Linked DNA regions of Cricetulus griseus. The protein of the gene in region 1 interacts with the protein of each later gene in a pairwise test. Links are inferred from orthologs where the notes say so. Each region holds a gene or a part of one and is shown on either strand. Other genes may lie near its edges.

Evidence for each region.
Region 2: the proteins of Hnrnpa1 (region 1) and Hnrnph3 interact in binary tests that used the Homo sapiens proteins (3 or more experiments, as listed by UniProt). The link is inferred for Cricetulus griseus from reciprocal best matches to the Homo sapiens genes HNRNPA1 and HNRNPH3.

What each region holds. Positions count from the first base shown.
Region 1 is NC_048595.1:399,611,576-399,615,989, reverse strand, and holds the start of Hnrnpa1 (heterogeneous nuclear ribonucleoprotein A1), read right to left. Parts: upstream 2,870-4,414; 5' UTR 2,727-2,869; coding exon 2,712-2,726; intron 2,159-2,711; coding exon 2,042-2,158; intron 1,807-2,041; coding exon 1,660-1,806; intron 1,516-1,659; coding exon 1,305-1,515; intron 906-1,304; coding exon 813-905; intron 726-812; coding exon 633-725; intron 478-632; coding exon 403-477; intron 201-402; coding exon 42-200; intron 1-41. UniProt on the Homo sapiens protein: Involved in the packaging of pre-mRNA into hnRNP particles, transport of poly(A) mRNA from the nucleus to the cytoplasm and modulation of splice site selection.
Region 2 is NW_023276806.1:273,847,023-273,850,806, forward strand, and holds the end of Hnrnph3 (heterogeneous nuclear ribonucleoprotein H3), read left to right. Parts: intron 1-403; coding exon 404-588; intron 589-988; coding exon 989-1,075; intron 1,076-1,234; coding exon 1,235-1,350; intron 1,351-1,984; coding exon 1,985-2,120; intron 2,121-2,345; exon of another isoform or gene 2,346-2,371; coding exon 2,372-2,452; exon of another isoform or gene 2,453-2,616; coding exon 2,617-2,709; exon of another isoform or gene 2,710-2,803; coding exon 2,804-2,877; 3' UTR 2,878-3,086; downstream 3,087-3,784.

The DNA.
Region 1 (4,414 bases):
TCTAGCTATCACACCAAGTACTTGCATCACTGGATACCTACCACTACCACCGCCAAAGCCGCCTCCGCCTCCTCCGTTGTTATAGCTGTCATAGCTGCCACTCCCGCCATAGCCACTGCCCTGGTTTCCATAACCCTGTCCACCACTTCCATAGCCTCTGCTTCCTCCAGAGTAACCAGGGCCGCCTCCTCCATAACCACCTACAAGAATACAAGCCTTCTCAATAAGACAAAAGTATTTAACAATAAAAATCTATGCAAGTGTAATGACTAATGGCCTGCTCACAGCATGCGTATTACGGGGCTGGTTGATTTTGTCATGCACTAGGTTTAGTGTCTACTAGCCTAGTCTAAAGGTATAGGTTGCTAGAAATTTTACTTACGGATTCCTTAAGAAACTTACCGTCATTACCAAATCCATTATAGCCATCCCCACTGCCACCATATCCACCACCACCACGGCTACCACCGAAGCCACCTGTAAGAAACCAGAGCTTTAGGTATATGAATGAAGCAAATGCTAATCTCTGTGTAACGAAAACTTATGTTTTGGGTAAAATCTAAATGCTATAAACAAAGACTAGCAGTTATCCATCGTTCCAAAAGCAATTAAGAAATCCAAAAGGTACACACCTCGACCACTGAAGTTTCCCCCTCGACCAAAGTTGTCATTGCCGCCAAAACCACCTCCACGACCACCACCAAAGTTTCCGGAACCACTTCGACCTTAAGAGATGTTTGGATCATTACATTAGACCAACTTGCAGCAACAACCCAACTACCCTCTGCAAGTTCTAACTAAGCAAGAGATACCTCTTTGGCTGGATGAAGCACTGGCCATCTCTTGCTTTGACAGGGCTTTTCTCACTTCACAGTTGTGGCCATTCACAGTATGGTATTTCTGAACTTAAAAAAAAAAAGTTAACTTTAGGGCTTTAAACACACTGAGTCCCAGTCATTAAGAAATCTGAGCACGATGGGTGTTGGTGGCCCACGCCTTTAATCCCAGCACTCAGGAGGCAGAGGCAGGCAGATCTCTGAGCTTCAGACCAGCCTGGTCTACATGAGCTAGTTCCAGGACAGCCTTTAAAGCCAGAGAAACCCTGTCTCGAATCCACCCAAAAGAAAAATGTAATCTGGCTGGGGGGTGGAACACCCCATAAATCCCAGCATTCAGGAGGCAGAGACAGGCCATCTGAGTTTGAGGGCGGGTCTCATTTCCAGGAAAGGACCCAAAGCTACAGAATATTCCCAGTTTGTGGGGGAGGGAGGAGGAGGAGAGAAATCTAATTATCTGACACTTACTAACAATCTTGTCCACAGAGTCATGGTCATCAAAGGTGACAAAAGCAAACCCTCTTTTTTTCCCACTGCCTCTGTCCGTCATGATTTCAATCACTTCAATCTTCCCATACTGCTCAAAATAATCACGAAGGTGATGTTCTTCAGTGTCCTCTTTAATACCACCAACAAAGATCTTTTTCACAGTTAAGTGGGCCCCTGGTCTTTGAGAATCCTAAAAGGAAAATGATGCAGTCATTATTAGTACATTTCAAATGATTGGCAGCTGTGGTGGCCCACGCCTTTAATCCCAGCACTCTAGGGGTCTATCTGGCGTCTAGATAAAAGAGAACCCAACTATTAGCATAATAACACTCACTTCTCTTGAAACAGCTCTCTTAGGTTCCACAACTCTGCCATCCACCTTGTGTGGCCTTGCATTCATAGCGGCATCTACTTCTTCCACAGTAGCGTACGTGACAAAACCAAAGCCCCTGGATCGCTTCGTATTTGGATCTCTCATTACCTGTTTATAGAGTTAATTCAATCAACATATTGCCTGATATCAGGACCTGAGGCCATTCCAACTCTGAACATGTCCAGCATAAAACTCCATTTAGACTCAAGCATAAGGCCCCCAAACAAAGATCCTTTTAAAATTATACCATTAATTACCTTCACAAAGCATCTGGGTAAGAAGTGCGGCATGATTAAAGCAATAAAATTAAACCAGCCCCGCCTTTTGTTCCTTCTAATCTTACCACACAGTCGGTGAGTGTTCCCCATTGCTCAAAATGGCTTCTCAGACTCTCGTCGGTTGTTTCGAAGCTCAGCCCTCCAATGAAGAGCTTCCGCAGCTGTTCCGGCTCCTTGGGTGACTGAATCGGATCAAAGGAGAGCCGTTAGCTAAGGGGCTGGAACTTGAGCGAATGGATCAACTCCACGCATCAACATAGGCCGCACTTTTTTATTGTTCTTTATTACAGCACAAGACCACGTGCTCCTCTCTGGGCCAGGAGGTGCTGTTGGGGCGTGGGGGGGAGGACTAGCATGCAGCGCATGCGTCCCTACTCTATACGCACGCGCAACAAAAGACACGGGCTGGACTGGTCAATCGCCATTAAAACTTACTGAAGCCTTAGCAGACGTTAGTTAGGCAAAGCCAAGAAAGAAAATAAAAAGAGCCACAACCCCCAAGGTCGCATATCTGTGAATTCTGCCACTAGGAGCCGAGTGTGGAAACTAGCGGTTAGCGGACGGCAGCCTCATGGCGACTACGAGGACAAAATGGCGACCTGCACTTTGTGAGCAGGCCTCGGCAACGACCGATCAAACACCGAAAGCATGGGTGCCAGCCAGAAAAATAGGTCGCATCCCGTCCTGTTCATTGCGTATGGAAGGAAACGAAGCCGCAGAGCGCGCACAACTCACCTCCGACTTAGACATGACGGCAGGGAAACGAGAGCCTTCAGCGATGCTTCCTCCGCCGCGTCAACAGGCAGAAAGGAGTAAGTCAACGAACGTATCCGCCAGCCTACCTTCGGCTCGCCTTTTTATCCCGCCTCCTCGCTTTCGGCATTGGTAGACTCCGCCCTGGCCTTACTCTGATTGGAGATCTGGAATTGTTCCCGCCCACTCTAGGTCTGTGGATCCGCCCTGCTAAGAGATGGCATCTGCTGGGGCGTTCTACGCAGTCTCCGCCCTTCGGAGTCATCGACGCTCTGGGGGATTTTTTTTTTAACCAGGTTGATTGACTAGCTAACCAGTGGTTTATATTTGAATGTACCCATGTCTTTAAACGCCTTGCATAACTTCCCAGCGTCCGAACATTATAACCTCACTTGGCAAAACACGACACGTTAGGAAAAGTAGTTCGCTACCACTTTTGCAGCCACTGCCCGGAGAGCGCATGTGTAATAAAAATGGCGAGTTTACGCCGGCGCACTAAGGAGTTCCGCTCGCCTACTGAACACGTGAAATGGCGGGCGGCGGGCGGGAGAGGGCGGTGAACCTAAGGCGCCTGCGTACTGGCGGGAGCTGCGTCCTGCTTTGCGCAGGCGTTTTGGGCGGAGAAAAGGTCTGGGCCCAGGATTGGTTGCGCAGGCGCAGGGAAAGGATCCGTTTTGGCGGGCGGCTGGCGTTGCGCAGAAGGCGGCGGTAGCGGGTGGCTTGTGGTGCAGCTTTACCACAGAGGAACCGCGCAGGCCTTAGTGTGAGTGGTCACTGTAGATCCCGGGTAAGTGGCAGAGTCTTGACTAACCGTGGGAGTTCCTGGACCCGCTCCAATTGGACTCGTTATTGTACGAAATGAATGGGCCCCGCTGGACTTGGGGGAGCGACAGTGAAGGGGCCGCGATGGGTCGGGCCAGCCAATGGGAGAACGGGGGCGGGATGTTTTAATTCTGCCAGGTCCTTTTGGGCTGCGCTACCAGAGCGTTTGACTGACGAGTGTATAGGCCAATTGGGTCTTCCTATAGCTGCCTACGGATCGGCCCTTGGGCCATCCGAATGCGGGAGGCGGGCTTTTCCCGCCCGAGTGGCGTCTCTCAGAGCCAATGAGCTCCAAGCGCGCGATAGGCCGGCCTTCTCCAAGCGGCAGAGGCTGGACTCCAGTGGGGAGCGCGGGAGTCGGGAGGTTAAATCCATGGACCAAACCTGGATCAAGTAAATGGAGAGATTCCTTGAAAGAGAGGCATCTTGCCTTCAGAGGGAATTGTAGGGGTGCATATTTTATCTACAATGACTCCTATAGTGGAGGCAATCATTCCCTACATCACCTTAACGAAAGCATGTTTTCTTGTTCCCCTCTAGTTTGGCATTTTTCTTGCTCTTTTAGATCCCTTCACTTGATATTTTGAAGAACTTAGGGAGGGAGGCTTTAGTTTTTGAAAATTCTTAAAGGAAAACATTTAATTAAAGTTTTAGGTTGAAATGGCTACATAAGTATTGTAATGGAAAGCTTCCGAGAAAAATAGACTTACCTCTACCACCGGTGTCCAGGGACACATCTGTATTTCTATGGCCACAGAAAAAGTTTTCGAGAGCTACAGGTCGAAGTGTATTGCTTCTATTGACACAGTGGGGTAGAGGCCTGTTTGTATGTCTGATATTTGAGGGGTGATTGCCATTAATGG
Region 2 (3,784 bases), on another chromosome or scaffold:
AGAATTGATAATTACCTAAATTTAACATGGAAACTACAGATTTGGGTGGGGAAATTAATGCTAATAGTTTAAATTAAACTTAGATTGTTTCCATTTCTTTGTAGGATGTCATTAAATTTTGTATAATCACCTGTTTTTCTTATGTACCTATCTTGTGCTAAAGGAAACAAATTAAAAATATATTCATAATTCAGTGTTTTCAAATTACTCATTTGTCTATGTAAAACTTAAATATTTAATTATTTAAGTTTGTAGGTGTAAAAATGTTACTTATGGTTTATTTAGGCAATTTAAATTGGGTTATGTACCTAGATATAGACAAACTTACTGCATTTTGCCCAGTATCTAATTTACTCTCTAATACATCTATGCTGAAACCTGTACTTTAAACCTTTTTAAATAGGTATATTGAGATCTTCAGGAGTAGCAGGAGTGAAATCAAAGGATTTTATGATCCACCAAGAAGATTGCTGGGACAGCGACCGGGACCATATGATAGACCAATAGGAGGAAGAGGGGGTTATTATGGAGCTGGGCGTGGAAGTATGTATGACAGAATGCGACGAGGAGGTGATGGATATGATGGTGGTATGTGTATCTAATGAACAAAAGGTTCTGTTGTCATTTTCTTGATGTTCCTGACATTTTGTCAAGAAATACAGAAATGGCAGTAATTTCAGTACCTATGAGGTTTTAAAACCTGTTCATGAAATTGTGGGATTTCCACTGTGGAACTTGATTGATGCACATATTAACACCTAGAAATAATGTAGAAATAAAGATAACTGGCATGTTTCTTCTGGGCATAAAGATGACATTTGGTTTTCATGTTGTGTTTGAATTTATTCTGTGGATGTTTACATTTCCATCAAGGGTTAACTGCTTTTCCTTTTCCCATTTGCAGTAAGTTGCAAACATTAATGAAGAAGCTAAAATAATTCACTACAAAATGATTTTTACAAATTGCTTTTTCCTTACATTTGCACAGGCTATGGAGGTTTTGATGACTATGGTGGCTATAATAATTATGGCTATGGAAATGATGGCTTTGATGACAGGATGAGAGATGGAAGAGGTAAACTAAGAATATCATGCCAAAGTAAATTTTACTGTTTCCTTTATAAGGTGCTGGTAGTAACTAGGCAACTTTGATGGGATAATGGAAACTTGTGTCATTGCGCTGGCTTGTTGATTTATATGTACTTATGTGAACCCACAATGGTTTATAATCTAGGCATGGGAGGACATGGCTATGGTGGAGCTGGTGATGCAAGTTCAGGTTTCCATGGTGGTCATTTTGTGCACATGAGAGGGCTGCCTTTTCGTGCAACAGAAAATGATATTGCTAATGTAAGTGGTATATAGTGGGTATTTTTTTATTATTATTATTATTGGCGGGGAGGTCTCACCGTAGCCCAAACGAGACTAGAATTTAGAAATTCTAACTTGACTTTAGGCATAAGGCAGCCACCATGCCTTACCTCTTTTATTTGTTAAGATTCAGGCTAAGATTGTCACTTAGTGATAGATTATTTGCCTAATATACACATAGGTGTTTGTGCCCATTATGTGAGATTTTAAGCAGGTTAAAAAAAAACAAAACAACAAAAAAACCACTCTGTTAAGAATAGAGTCAATCATGTAGGAGTTTGCCTTTAGTAGTAGGGTCTGCAACAATCCCAAACTTGAAGATACTCTTAACTAACCATACTCTGTCATGGAACTGTATTCCCAGTTTCACAGTTTTCATTTAGTTTAGTATTGCCTTACTTTATAAGCAGTAACTGCTTTGCATTTTAAAAAATGCACTCCTTCCCCATGTGAGCCAAGCAGACTGGACCATCTCTGTAGCAAAGGATGACTCAACCTACCTCCACAATACTGGAGCCCTTATAGACCCTCAGTAGTTTATTTTAGTGGAAAGATTAAAAGCATGTGCTAATTTTAAATGACTGGAATTTAAAAATGAGTAACTTTTATTTAGTTCTTCTCACCACTCAATCCAATACGAGTTCATATTGACATTGGAGCCGATGGCAGAGCAACAGGAGAGGCAGATGTAGAGTTTGTGACACATGAAGATGCAGTGGCTGCCATGTCTAAAGATAAAAACAACATGCGTAAGTGGTGTCTTTGGCCTGCTTCTGTTCATAGGTGTGTACAGTTTATACAGTAATTACTGGTTAAAATGTCTGTTAGATCATTTGACCTATTAATAATGTCTAGATTTTAATGGCTGCCTGAAATAGTCCTATATTTTATGGATAAGCCTTCGTTAAATACTAGCTAATCAACTTTGATTAGTACATTTTATCTTTCTCTATTATTCTTACCTTTTTCCACTTTTTTTTTTTTTTTTTTTTTTTTAAAGAACATCGATATATTGAACTCTTCTTGAATTCCACCCCTGGAGGTGGCTCTGGAATGGGAGGCTATGGCAGAGATGGAATGGGTATGTATAGTTTTGTATTGGAGGTGAGGTGGGGACATCTTGCTCTGTAGCCCACGTTGGCCTTGGTGCTTCAATATATCCCTCCCAAACCGGGGTTTATAAACTTTTTAGAATAAGCAGTGTTGGCTAGTTTGGAAACCATCCTGTCACTTTTTAATGTGCAGATAATCAAGGAGGATATGGATCTGTTGGGAGAATGGGAATGGGGAACAACTACAGTGGAGGATATGGCACTCCTGATGGCTTGGGAGGTTATGGTAAGTCTGTATGAGGCAATATCTTTCACTAAAAATACAAATAGTATGATGTGCATGGCCCTCTCCTGATTCATGTTCTTAATGTCTTCTTAAGGTCGTGGTGGTGGAGGTGGTGGTTACTATGGACAAGGTGGAATGAGTGGAGGTGGATGGCGTGGGATGTACTGAGACCACTTCCTCCAACGTACAAGTCCTAACAACATCTGACTTTCTTACAGATTGAATTTCTTTTGTATTTCAAGAACTTTATAATGACTGAAGGAATGTGTTTTCAAAATATTTGGTTAAAGCAACAGATTGTGATGGGAAAATCTGTTTTCTGTAGGTTTTATTTGTTGCATACTTTGACTTAAAATAAATTTTTATATTGAAACCACTGATGTTGCTACTTTTTATATATATAGGTACTCTTAAGGATGTGCTGCCTTCATAAGATTTGGGATGATGTATTTTACTGTTAGCTCTACAAAAAGTAGCATAGTGCAATGTTAGAGGATAAGACTACAAGTCTAAGCAGAGCTTGAGTAGTTAGCTAACTTTCTGTCCTGGACACTGTAAATAAAGTCTAAAGATGCATTCAGGTAGCTTCAGGAATTTAAGTTCAGCTAATTCTGTATTCCCTTTTCAGTCTCATTTATCAAGCATAGCTCTGAATAATTTAAGAGTCATCTGGATTCTAAATAGTCACAATTGTGTTATGAATTATGAACCCAAGGGGTTGGGGAGTATCAGTTGAAATTATAGCCCTAGATTTTAAAATCCTCATAGCACTTGACCAAGATACCAAAAATGTTCCCAAAATTTGAGTTTGTTGGAGTAGCTAAGTCAGTTGATGAAGTCAGAAAGAGCTTGGTTGTGTAAATACACGGGTGTTTACTATAATAAATGTGTTCTTGTGTTTTCACTTTCTCACCCAAGAAAAGTGTGTTTTTTAATTGTGTAAATGACTACATTTAGGAAAATGTGTAACAGTGCTGCAGCTGAATTTTGCATCTGATACTGGCATTGAGTAGTTACTCTTTGTGTAGCACGGACAAGGTGCTTCGATCAATGTGGCTTTTCCCCAAATTGGCTA